Linked DNA regions of Canis lupus familiaris. The protein of the gene in region 2 purifies or fractionates together with the protein of the main gene of each other region. This does not show direct contact. Links are inferred from orthologs where the notes say so. Each region holds a gene or a part of one and is shown on either strand. Other genes may lie near its edges.

The links.
Region 1: the proteins of TCEAL1 (region 2) and KDM3A purify together in Homo sapiens (affinity purification with mass spectrometry; 3 studies listed by BioGRID and IntAct, counting the BioPlex papers as one, with this or other methods). This does not show direct contact. The link is inferred for Canis lupus familiaris from reciprocal best matches to the Homo sapiens genes TCEAL1 and KDM3A.
Region 3: the proteins of TCEAL1 (region 2) and USP11 purify together in Homo sapiens (affinity purification with mass spectrometry; 4 studies listed by BioGRID, counting the BioPlex papers as one, with this or other methods). This does not show direct contact. The link is inferred for Canis lupus familiaris from reciprocal best matches to the Homo sapiens genes TCEAL1 and USP11.

The regions. Positions count from the first base shown.
Region 1 is NC_049238.1:39,017,569-39,021,902, forward strand, and holds part of KDM3A (lysine-specific demethylase 3A), read right to left. Parts: intron 2,070-4,334; coding exon 1,914-2,069; intron 845-1,913; coding exon 734-844; intron 1-733. UniProt on the Homo sapiens protein: Histone demethylase that specifically demethylates 'Lys-9' of histone H3, thereby playing a central role in histone code.
Region 2 is NC_049260.1:77,603,472-77,607,409, forward strand, and holds TCEAL1 (transcription elongation factor A protein-like 1), read left to right. Parts: upstream 1-1,434; 5' UTR 1,435-1,486; coding exon 1,487-1,571; intron 1,572-1,805; coding exon 1,806-2,302; 3' UTR 2,303-2,832; downstream 2,833-3,938.
Region 3 is NC_049260.1:41,027,647-41,032,498, forward strand, and holds the start of USP11 (ubiquitin carboxyl-terminal hydrolase 11), read left to right. Parts: upstream 1-1,672; 5' UTR 1,673-1,989; intron 1,990-4,852.

The DNA.
Region 1 (4,334 bases), on a different chromosome or scaffold from region 2:
AACAGCATTGTAACTCATGGCTGAATGAAACTTATTTACCATATATATTTCCTCCCTAAGACACATCCTGACCTTACACTTAGGAACACTAGAGAGCACTTCAGCACTATACTTGGTACAGTGAAACCACCACCACCACCACCACCACCACCGCAAAAAAAAAAAAAAAAAAAAAAAAAAAAAGGCACAAAAATTCAACACTAAATAGACCTCATAAACCACACTTGTTTACAGAATGAGAGAGGAAACAAGCCAGCAGAATGTCACCTTATTTGACTTCAGCTGGGAACATATGTCAGGTAACTCAAATTTTTTACCACTCTGCCAATGTCTATGAATGACCATGAAAGTGCCTAAGAACTGATTTGGGGGTTACAAATATATTCTAACAAGTAGGCAACTTCCCACATTATTCAATACATAAATAATGACTGCCATACATGTGAATGATAGTCAATCTTTCAAAAATTATTTTCATATCATCTAGGTGTTTCCATATATAAATACAGATCATCAACTGTACTACTTCTGAACTTCCAATCCCAAATAGACAATACCAACCCCAATGGCTAACACCGAAGGGTAATGTCTAACAACTAACTGCTAATGAGATGGGTCTATTTCTGTGTTAGGTATTTATTAGAATTAGAGCAATAAACGTCAATACTTTTAGTTCTCATATTAAAAAATTTATATTTCTATCTTTAGAGGTTAATATTTTTTTATGCTTTACCTGTATAGGCTTCAGAAGGTCTTTAGAAAGAAATACTCTTTGTTGATCTCCCAGAAAGCGAATAGAGGTTATGGATCCCAAACCAGCTTTGTCCAACAGAGACTTATACACCTAAAACAAAACAAAAGGGTTCTGACATCACAACTGCTGTCAGAATAATTCTGAAAATGGTGACTAGCAATTTTCCACATATGCAGAAAGAGATAAAACCACTAATTTTATTTACTGCTGGCATCTCAATAACAACTACTTACGCAGCCACAACGCGATCACACAATTTTTATCCAAAACCATTTAAACCAGATACACATTTGGGAGTCATTAACACATAAGTCTGGGTCCAGAGGTACATGACTTCTCCAAAATTTATACAAAAAACTGTGTGTATACATTTTTTCTGGGGGAGATAGGGCCATGTTTTTGGCAAATTCTTAATAGCTGGGGGAGAGAGGGCTACAAAGAGAAAAATATAACTTTAACCAAAATCTATACCACTCAAAAACCTGCAGCAGCTCTTCTCACCCACGGGCAAAATCTTAACTTTGCTAGCACAGTATGCTAGGCCCTTCACAATCTGGTCAGCCTTTCAACCACCTTCCTAGCCTTTCTGTCTAAATCTTGCCCTTCTACTGTTAAGCCCTATGTCTCACAAAACCTGAATTGTCTTCTCCAGACACTATGATCACTCTTATCTACTACATCAGATTTATGATGTGGAAATGGCATAATCATGCACTGACTGCCAGTACTTTCAGAGCCAAAGAATATCATGAGTCAGAGAGAACCTTAGAGATCATGAGGCCAAGACTGGCAACCCCTACAGGAGCTAGGCAACAGCCAGATTTTAAGGTATACTTTCCATATTTTAAAAGTAGATGACTAACTCAAACTTTCTTAAAATGTTATGAAAATCAATCCAAATATACATATACATATATATTGTTTCTCACCTCTGACCTAGACATTCCCCCACATTACCTCCAACCCCATTTTTCAAGTGAAGAAACTGAGGGCTGAAAAGTCAAAGGCACAGAGTTACAGGGTTCCTAGCAGGGCTAACAGGAGATTCCTTATCTGTACTATTCTCCAGAGGCCAAATACAGGCATTACATATACATTTCCCTTGTTTCACTCATAATGGATTAAATCCCCTGGTCTCATAACCTCAAGTTGTACTCACTATTGCAGGCCACTGAACAACTCGTTCAGAAATTTCAGGAGACTTTCGTTCAGCCAAAACCAAGTTATGCTCTACTAAAAATGCTCTCCTTAGAAGGCTATAGACTTCTATCCATCTTCTCTTTCTCCAAGATTCCCCATCAAACTCCACACACACCTAAACAGAAGTGAAAAAAAGCAGATTCAATTAACAAAAATAAACATGAAAAATACCAAAGTTGAATTATACCATTATTCTACTTGAATCTTTTTTTAAAGATTTTATTTAAGAGATATTTATTTGAGAGGGAGACACTATAAGGTGGCGGGGAGGCCAGGGAGAGAAGCAGACTCCCCACTGAGCAGGGAGCCCTATGCGAGGCTCGATCCCAGGACCCCGAGATCACAGAAATCATGACCCTAGCAAAAGGCAGACTCAACCTACTGAGCCACCTAGGCGCCCCTCTACTTCAATCTTTTATCTGAATATTTTGTCCCTCTTTCCCACTCTTACTTCCCTTCCCAGTCCACAATAAACCAATCAGACATGTTAATCTAACCATCAAGCTTTGGCTGCCAAATCACTTTGAGAAGCGGCAGTCAAGGCTTTTGGAAGCCAGTCTCTGCCTCAAAAGTAACTTGTAGAAAGCCAAAGAACCCCCAAGTAGAAAGTTTTTACATATGTTAGACATCAGAGCTTTGAGAATCAAAAGAAAGAAATTTGAAACCTAAAAGAATTACTTACTGCGTGTCATTGTAATTCTAAATGGCACTGTGGGCTTAAGAAGACCACCCCATCACCATAATCCCTTGTTTTGAATCCCTTTGGTATGCATAGGATTCAGACTTACAAGGCCTAGAAGACAGCACATCCTCAACATCCTTTTGAGTTGAATAAACTGGGAGTTTGGAGTCAAAGTCTACTTTGCTAAATATAGAAACAAATAGTTGATAAACTGACACCAGAGCTAAACTCCCTCAATATTTGGTGTAAAATCACTATTTTTATTTAAAACCCCTTTCTTACTAAAGAGGGTTAGGGTTAGGGTTAGCCTCTCATAATTTCATAGACAATCACACTTCCTTTCCAAGCTTTAACTTTAAATAAGTTAACTTCCATTCATCTGCAGAACTCAAAAAATATTTTCCTCAAAGAAGCCTTTCCTAACCAAAGAGCCTCCATTCCCCACCAAAGAGAATTCCTCCTTGTTAAATGTACTCAAAGCCCCATACTTTTCCTTCACCATGTACCCACATTTTGTATTATTTATTTGTGGCTAACTGATTGACATAAGTTCTAATAGGTCAAACTATATGTTTTTATTTACCTTTGTATTTCACTAGTATCCAGTCCCCAGTCAGTACTGAAATACTTGTTGAATGAATAAATTTCTCTCTGAATTGGCCTCTTACCTTCAGTTACTCTCAGACATTTAGAAGGCAGGACATTCCCAATTGGTATACCACTAGCCCTAAACCCAAATCTTCTCTAATTTTATGGCTTTATAAATACCAATCTTTAAAAAAATCAATGAAATTTAAAACCCATCCTTCTCCCCCAACAGTAAAATCTGTGTCCCTAACTTTCAGGTAACTTTCTCTCAGAATATGCATATCTTCTTGGTATGGCAGGCTTTTTAATCTTGCAGTTATCACAGAACCCATATAAATGTGTAAGTACCTATTATGTGACAAGGCCCTGTGTACGCTCTCCTTGGTTCTGTGCATTCCATCCATCACTACGCCCAATCAAATGGTCCTTCACAGAGTTTAGAGACTGCTCATCTTCCTGCCTCCTCAGTCACAGAATACAGGTCTTATGATAGCTCCCCTAAATTAGATAGTCTTTCTGCTCCATATCACATCAACCTCAAACCCAAACTAGCTTTAGATGAGTTTTCCCATCAATGCTGTATAAGAGGAATGAGCATATATAACTACAGCACCAGAGAAATCTGGGTTTGAATCCCAGCTATGCTGAAGCTTTTTTAGGATGATTTTAACCACATAAAATATGTAGCATTACAAAGAAAACCAATTAGCCTGCATGCCAAGTTAAGAACCCTTGCTTAAACCTAAGTTCTTTGAAACTGGTTTTGCTAGCTACAAAATGAAAGTGCTAACACCTACCTCTCACTGAATCATTAGGTAAAATTTTAAGACAAGGTACATAAAGTATCTGGCAAGGAGATCAGGCAGTCTTAAGATTTCAATGGTAATTCAAATCTTAATTTATCAGGGTATCAGTTCAGTTGAGGGAGAGAAGATCCTAAATAAAATTATCCAATATCTATTGAGGGGGGAAAAAAAAAGTAAAGGATTAAGAGATCTTCAGTAGCTTTCCCAAACTTAAGCAACATCACAATTCTTATCAAACCTCTATAAAGCTTACGATCAACCCTAAACCAAAATTTAGACAGAGCCCCTTCTTCTTTATATCCCA
Region 2 (3,938 bases):
CCACAAAAAAATGCTTCCATTACAGATAAGTTTTTAAATTATTTGTACTTAGATGGACAAATGTATAATTTGACTTACGAAAATCATGTTTTTAATTTACATACTTCACAAGCAAAGTTCTAGAACTGAATACTAATTTAGACTGGAGCCTCTATCTGTGATGCAAGTTTGGGGGGGCTCAAAAAAATCCTTAAAGTTGGGCAGCCCCGGCGGCTCAGCAGTTTAGCTCCGCCTCCAGCCCAGGGCCTGATCCTGGAGTCCCACGTCAGAGTCCTTGCATGGAGCCTACTTCTCCCTCTACCTGTGTCTCTGCCTATCTCATTAATAAACTGGAGGGTATTATGCTGAGTGAAATAAATAAAATCTTTTAAAAAAATCCTTAAAGTCATGGAAAAGTGAAAGCATATCATCCATAAAAGTGACAAGAGATGTAAATCATGTTCATAGAGCCTACATGGACACGATGGAGTTAGGGATGTGGATTAAAGCTGGGAAAGGTGGAATTCATTAGGGGAAAATAGTCAAATTTCAGTGCAGGATCTGGACTACAGGGGAAATATTGGACCTTGGTGACTGACAACGGGAGAATATGGAATAAGGGAGAGAGGTGATATCAGAGTAAGCGGCAGAGAAGAAAAGGCAGTAACTCCCAAGACTGGATGCTGTCTCTGGTAACCAGGAAAAAGCAAATATAAACAAAGAGGTGAGTGACGATGCCTGATGTGTTATGAGCTAGGAAAATACTGGCAAGGCTGCAGCACGGCCGCCGGCGGTCAAAGTGGTAACTGGGGATCTGAGCTCGGCGGTGACGCGGGGCCCTCACGTGACCAGGAGCCTATGTCTGCCCAAGTCCCTCTCTCCTGGTCCTTTTTGCCTGTCCAGACACCGTCTGCCTACTGCCCTTTGGTCGAGGGGAAAAGCAGAAGGAAGTAAGTCCCCTCGGTCTTCTGAAATCGGTATGTGTCGGTGCTGCCCAGTAACCTCTGGGATCGGGATGGCAGAGAGTACCAGGCCTTTCCCTATATCCAGCCCCGCCCCGCCGCGCCCACATTTCGGTGCAGAAAATGGTGGTCTTGGGGTGAGGTGGAGAGATGAGGGGGGGGGGCCTGGGAGACATAGATACCTAGAAACAGTTTCTAAGTAATCTTTGGCTTCCACTTGCCGCTTGGAAAAGAAATGACGAGCACTGCGGGGTGGTGGGGCACGGAGGACGAAGCTTAAGGTGGAGTATGGGGGAGGGGAAACAGAGGGGGCTGGCGTGGGAGCGGCGGCTAGTGTCCAGAAAGGGACGGTATGTCAGTCAGTCCTTCCCTCCTCCCCACTCCCCGCCCCCTACCCTGTCTTGGCGTCTGTCTGCAGGTCTGCAGGTCTGCAGGTCACAGGGGCGCGCCTGGAGAAGAGGGCGCCTAGAAAAAACCGCCAGGAGAGGTCCAGGTCGGGGAAGGGCTGGGCAGTGACCTGGGATGGGATACGTGGGAGGACGCTGATGGGAACCGAGTCGGCAGCACCGCCGGCGCGCCCCGCCCCTGCCACTGCGGGAGAGGCCTGTGGCAAGGCCTGCTGGGAAAATGGTGGGCTTTCGGAAAGGAGGGGGCGAGGGAGGCTGGGGGCTAGGGAGGCTGAGGGCAGGGTGGGACGCAGCGGGGTCTCCAGGGCCGGAGAGCCCCTCGACCAGCGTAGGGTGGGGGAACCTGGGCCTCGACTCGGGAAAAGGCAGGTATGAGAACCCGGGGCTGGGGTTTTGATGCAGCCGCCAAGTGTGTTGACTCGACTCTGCCTTCCTTGTCTTCTATGAATAACTGTAGATAAAGACCCCCTCAACATGGAAAAATCCTGCAAAGAAAATGAAGAACAGCCACAGAGCGCACCCAAGACTGATGAGGAGCGGCCTCCTGTGGAGCACTCTCCTGAAAAGCAGTCTCCGGAGGAACCGTCTTCCGAGGAGCAGTCGTCGGAGGAGGAGTTCTTTCCCGAGGAGCTCCTTCCCGAGCTCCTTCCCGAGATGCTCGTGTCCGAAGAGCGCCCTCCTCAGGAGCGCCTTTCTAGAAGGGACCTTTTTGAGGAGCGCCCTCCCATGGAGCAGCCTCCTTGTGGAGTGGGAAAACATAAGCTAGAAGAAGGAAGCTTTAAAGAGAGGCTGGCTCGCTCTCGCCCGCAATTTAGAGGGGACATACATGGCAGAAATTTAAGCAATGAGGAGATGATAAAGGTAGCAGAGGAGATGGAAGAAATGAAAAGAGTACGGAACAAACTGATGGTCATGCATTGGAAGGCAAGACGGAACCGTCCTTATCCTATTTAATGTATTCGGCTTTAATTCTGTTTTGCCTGATACAAGTATTGCCACCTGAACGTTGCATTTTCTCGTATACCTTTCCCCATCTCATTTTTAACTTTTCGTGTGGCTTTAGTTTAGGTATTTCACTTGTAACTGGCATAAAATTGGGTTTTCCCCACCCACAAGCTGCAAGTCTCCCTTTTTCAATCATGAGTCTCACCCATTTGCATGAAAAGATGTACATTATATATTGTGAAGTGAAAAAAACAATTTTCAAAAAGTATATGTTGCATCTCATTTTTGTAAAAAATGTATATTTATATATTAATATGCAAAGAAAAAAGTATATACTTAAATGGCTTAACAGTGGCTATCTGTGCGGTAATAGGTGTTTTGGTTTGTTTTTTCATTTTTGCTTCATCAGAACTAATTTTTAAAGACAAACATGTTACTTTCATTGCAAAAAATATAATGGGAAAAACATAAAAACCTGTCAATCAGCTTATAAAGACAATGTGGCACTTAATAAATACTTGTCAGAACTTTAAAGAAAAGTAAATCTCATGTTTGTTTTTAAGTAGGCTCCATGCCCAGGATGGAACCCAATGGGAGCTTGAACTCAAGACCCTGAAATCAAGATCTAAGCTAAGATCAAGAGCTACATGCTTAATGGACTGAGCCACCCAGATGCCCTAATTCCATGATTCTTTTAAATATCACGCAGAGAAACAAACTTGGTACTTCTATTTAATAGTCACTATTTTCCCATTTAAAGAGGAATAATGTTTGACTTAAAAGCTGCTGTGGAGGGGATCCCTGGGTGGCTCAGCGGTTTGGCGCCTGCCTTTGGCCCAGGGCGTGATCCTGGAGTCCCGGGATCGAGTCCCATGTCGGGCTCCCGGAGTGGAGCCTGCTTTTCCCTTCTCCTGTGTCTCTGCCTCTCTCTCTCTCTATGTCTATCATAAATAAATGAATAAATCTTAAAAAAAAAAAAAGCTGCTGTGGAGCCTAATAAAGTGAAGATCCTAGAGCTGCCTTGTTTCCCCCACTTGTACACATAGGACTCACAACCCCTATAGATACCTTTCAAATACAGGGGTTAGAACCCAAAGGAGGTTTCACTTAAACTCACAAATAATTGCTGTGAGATTCCAGGTGACTGCCACATTCTATTTCTATCCTGCTATTCTCTTCTCTTGGATACTGGCACATCTGCTGGGCACAGCAGCCCCTTCTTCTGGGTCCTGTTCTTACCATGCCCACTCCCCACAGCCAAGGTGCCTGGGTCCTCCAGTTGCAAAGCTTCACTGATTGCTCTGGAGTCCCTTCTGGACCAAAGCTGAACTGTGTCTCCTACAGATAAGTGGAGAATGCCTCTCCGTCAGTTTTAATATTATACTTACCCAGGTGCATATCATCCCAGTGCTGCTTAAACCTCAATGTCTTAAAGAATTCTTGGCAAAATAGTCCCCTTTTTCCTGAAGGCCTCATCTTTCCCCCACTGGATTCAAACATGAATTCACTGAGACCTGGGCTACAAGACAGATCTGTGGCCAGCTATAATGATGTATATTCAGGATTGGAACCTCCCAACCAATTTCAAAAAATGGCTATGGTTTTAGGTGCCTAATATTTGCCTTAGGGTGAATTCTCTCCCAAG
Region 3 (4,852 bases), about 37 Mb from region 2:
GCAGAGCCTAGTGAAGTGGTTCTCAACCAGAGATCTCCACCCCCAGGGAACACTGGCAACGTCTAGAGACACTTTTGGTGATGAGACAATTAGGGGATGATACTGCTATCCAGTGGGTAAAGGGCAGGGATGCAACTAAATATCCTACAATGCTTCCCACAACAGAAATGTCAATAGATCTTGATTGAGAACTCCTGGCCTGGGGCAATGGTTCTAAACTTTTTGGTCATGATCTCTTTAATAGTCTTAAAAATTGAGGACATCTAAAGAGCTTTTGCTTATGTAGCCTCTCAGAATATTCCATCACACACGCAAGACAGCTTGACAATGAAAAAGTATTGTGAAAATAGTTTTGACTTTGTGAATCCTCCTGAGAAGGTCTCCTGAACCAGTAGGAAGCCTAAAACCACAGTTTGGCCTTGTGCTTAAGGTCACAGCTCTGAGTTCGAACCACAGCTCGGTGTTTTTTACTAGCTGGGGCAAAATGAATGTTTCTGGTCCTCACTTTGCCCCTTTGATGTCCGTAGGGGACGGTGATGTTCATCTGTTGCCTAAGGCTACCTTTTACGTGCAATAAAGCATTTAAACAGGGCCAACTATTATTAGTTATCATTGCTATAATGCCAACAAATACACTGGGCCTGAAGCTGACTTGCCTTCAACACGTTTGTCAGGAAAATAAATCTAGTTCAGGCAGGGAAGCAGCCCGTAGGCTTGGGTGGTGACCTTTTTTGTATTAGGTTCTGATGGACAAGAGCAGCGCAGTGAATAGGGCATTCTGGTCAGGCTAACAAAAACTCTCAGGGTAGGGGCCGTGGTTCCCAGCAAAGCATGGGACCGAGAAAGCGCGGAACCTTCGTGTCCCTGAGCACTCCCCAAAATGTCCTCGTCCATAACGGGACCTCAGCCTCCACCTTTCCACACCACCTTTTGCCCTGACTCAACATGGCTTTAAAATCCTACAAGGCACCTTTGTCTTCCTTAGTCCCTAACTGGAGGTTTTGCCCCGCCCATTGGCCGCAGGGATCACCGCCCACAGTCCCACGCCCGCCTAGCCGGTCCACGCGTGCGAGCGTGGGGTCCCTTTCCAAGATGGCAGTAGCCCCCTGGCTGTTTGGGGGGCTCTGTTTCCGTTTCCGGGACCAGAATCCGGAAGTGGCCGTTGAGGGGCCTCTTCCTATCTCCAGCTGCGGTGGCTGTGAGAGGAGGGCGAACGGTGATGGCGGCGGTCGCAGCGAATGTGGCGGCTGCGGCTGAAGACCGAGAGCCGCAGCGCGAAGCGGTGCCGGGCCTGGAGAGCCAGTGGCGCCAAATCGAGAACAGCGAGAGTGGGCGAGAGCGTCCACTGCGTGCGGGCGAAAGCTGGTGAGACAGGGCTGCGAACGGATCCTCGGCTGGGGGAACGTGGAGGCTGAGGTCCGAAGAATTGCTGTGGGGGTGGGGGAGTGGCCTGTGAGACTGAGGACGGGAGGGGCGGGGAAGTGCCTGTGAGTGGATCACCTTGTCTGGGGAAAAAGGCGGGGCCTGTATGGTGGTGCCCCAGGCCTGAGAACTGGAGGTTTGTTTTGGAGAGGCGAGGGGGTGGGGCCGGGAGTGCGTGATGGAACTCGCAACCTGGGAAGGGGCGGTGCCCGAGGCCGAGGGGCGTGGTCTGCGTGGCGTTGAGTAGCATCTGGCGGCGGGGCGGCCTGCGGTTTCTCCGCGCCTGAGAGCTAGGCGGGGATGACGTCAGGCAGAAGAGCGGAATCCGAGCCGTGGGGCTGTGGGCGGAGGGAAGGAGTCGGAGCCTGCGTGGTGGAGGGAGCTGGCGCCTGGGAACGAGGCTTGTGACGGACGCTGAGGGGCGTGTCCTGAGGCCAAGGAAAGACTGCAGAGGGGAGGTAGTGCCTGTGAAGCAGAAAATGGCGCCTGCGAATGAGCAAAGTTTGTGACGCGGCGAGGTTTTTGCCTCTGGCCGAGGCCTTCTTCCCAGGACGGGAGAAAGTGCAGGTGATTGGCACGGGAGGGGCCTTCGCTATTACATTTGTTTTGTGTTTTAGTACTGCTTCGTTTTTGTAATCAGGAGAAATAGTTATTTTAAAAAATGTCAGTGCGTGTCTTGATAAATTGGCTTGTTTTACTGATTTCTTGGCTAACCAGTACTTGAAATACACTGTTTCTGGGTTTATTTTATTTCTCGCCAAGTTGCATCTCATTTTTTAAATTGTGATATACGTAAGACCTAAAAAGATTGCATAAAACGTTTACGTAGCCCAGATTGATGGACATTCTGTAAAAATAAACGGCCTGTGCTTTTCAAAAATTTCAAGGTCGTGAAAGACAAAGGATGAAGAACTGTTCCAGATTGAAGGAATTAATGGGATTTAAAGAATCATAACTAAATGCAATGTGTGATCCTGCATTGGATCCCGGAGCAGAAAAATAAATTATTTAAAAATCAGGATTTTTCTCATAAGATTGATTTCTCTTTTTTTATTGTAAAAGATGTTAATGGGAAAATTGATGAAATTTGACTGAGGCTTGTAGATTAGATATTAGTAGTGATAATTTCTTGCTTTGGATAATTGTGGTTATGAAAGAGAATTTTTTTAAGGGAATACATGCTGAAATTTTTCGGATAAAGAACCATTGTGTAAGCCGCTTACTCGCAAATGGTCGGGAAAAAATAGCGTATGTAAAGATGTATTTAAAGAAACGATGAGGCAAATGGCTAAAATGTTAAATTTGGGAAATGTGGATGAAGGGTATACGGGAATTCTTTATATTATCTTTGCAATTTTTTTCTGAGTCTATTTCAAAGTAAATAAAAGAATAATAAAAATTTGTGAATTCACCATTCAGGTTAAGATTTCAGACCGTTAGCTTAAGAAATCTCCTCCCTGATGGAAATCCCTCTCCCTGCGCCACTATTATTCTGAAGTTTTCAATTTGTTAACATTTTTCCGCTTTTGTATGCATCCCTAAATAGTATTTGTGGAAAAAAAAATAGTATTTGTGGTCTAAGCTTTCATTTCATGGAGGATATATGTGAAATCCTATGCCTAGAGGCGTACCGTGTGCCCTTTGCATCATATCAGGTGGTATACGGTATCCACATTACGTCATTGGTGACGTTAACCTTGAACATTTGGTGAAGATGGTATCTGCCCTGTTTCTCCACTATAAAGGTAGTATTTTTCTCTTTCCGTATGCGGTAATTCTTTTAAAAACATATTATAGCCATTCATTCCTCAAAACGTTTTAACAGCGTCCCATCGTGCAGTGTAAATGCTAAAATTCTTACAACGACTAGCAAGTCTGGTCCCCCTGCTCTGATTACCACTGCCCACCCCCCCAACTCTCTCCATCCAGCCATATTGGACTCCTGTTCCTCAGACACCGCAGGCATGCTCTCACCTGAGGGCTGTTCTGAGTGAGTTTTGCTTATTTTAGAGTTCTCTAATCACAATGTGTTACTCTCCCTGTTACTGGAGAGTTCAGAGACAAATTGAAATTCCCCAAATAGAGAATACGAAATCTTTTTTTTTCTTTTTTAACTGTTGTGCTGTAGCTCTCGGGCAAGGAAAAGCCTCATTCCACCCTGTTGAAAATAAACAATAACTGGATCATCTTTTATAGTTTATTTGGATGTGTTCAAACAGGGTTGGGGGCTTTGGTTCCTGATGCATCATGCCTTTACAGCCTCCTTGTGACAGTACCCTTTAGTTACCCCACCGGTATGGATTTCCTTTTTTGGGTGTTGAAAATGTGTTGGAACTAGATAGAAGTCACGGTTGCACAACATTGTGAATGTACTAAATGCCACCAAACTGTTCACTTGAAAATGGCTAATTTTATGTGAATTTTTAAAATTATGTTCTGTCAAATGAGTGAAAATATCAGTGAGGATGACAAAACATGAGAGACACCTAACTCTGGGAAATGAACAAGGGGTAGTGGAAGGGGAAGTGGGCGGGGGGTTGGGGTGACTGGGTGATGGGCACTGAGGGGGACACTTGGCGGGATGAGCACTGGGTGTTATGCTATATGTTGGCAGATTGAACTCCAATAAAATAAATAAACAAATAGAATTATGTTCTGTCAATAAAAAAAATTACCCCACCAATGTTGGTTCAGTATTAAAGCCAGTTTATCTCTGCTATTGTAGCTGATACCATGAAGCATTTTTCCATAGCTCCATTTTTTAAATGCTTATCTACTTAGGTGAGAGCAAAGCATCTCAAGGTTCTTTAATTTGTTGTTCATTTGATAGAGGTTTGCTGCAGTGGTCAGGAAATTTGTGTTTACAAAGTCACAGACTAATAATCCTCAAATCATATCTAATACCAATATTAATATTTTACACCTTCTTTTCGTCAGCTGGCAGATCTGGGCAAGGGGAAGTAATTTGAACTGATTTAAATCTCTAGGAGAAGCTTATATTTTAAGAGTAAATTAATATCTGTGATAGTATAGCTTCCTTGGCAAATTCCAGTTTTTGAGGATGAACCATCTACAAACATAATTAAATCTGAACTGATTTAAATCTCTAGGAGAAGCTTATATTTTAAGAGTAAATTAGTATCTATGATAGTATAGCTTCCTTGGCAAATTCCAGTTTTTGAGGATGAACCATCTACAAACATAATTAAATCAGGGAGAGGAAAGGGAGTCTCTAGATGGTTTGTGCAGGGTGTGGGTAGTTTTCTAACAGGTAAGCAGCAGGCAAGAGATTCTTTGTTCAGGTAAAAGAAGGAGTGTGGCTGGGTTCAGTGTTGCAGAGTGGATAGTGATGTGTGAAGGGAAAGTGACAGTGTTCCATTAGAGGTGAAGGACTAGCCTTAGAAATGTTGAGCCTTTTCTGTCAGTGGAG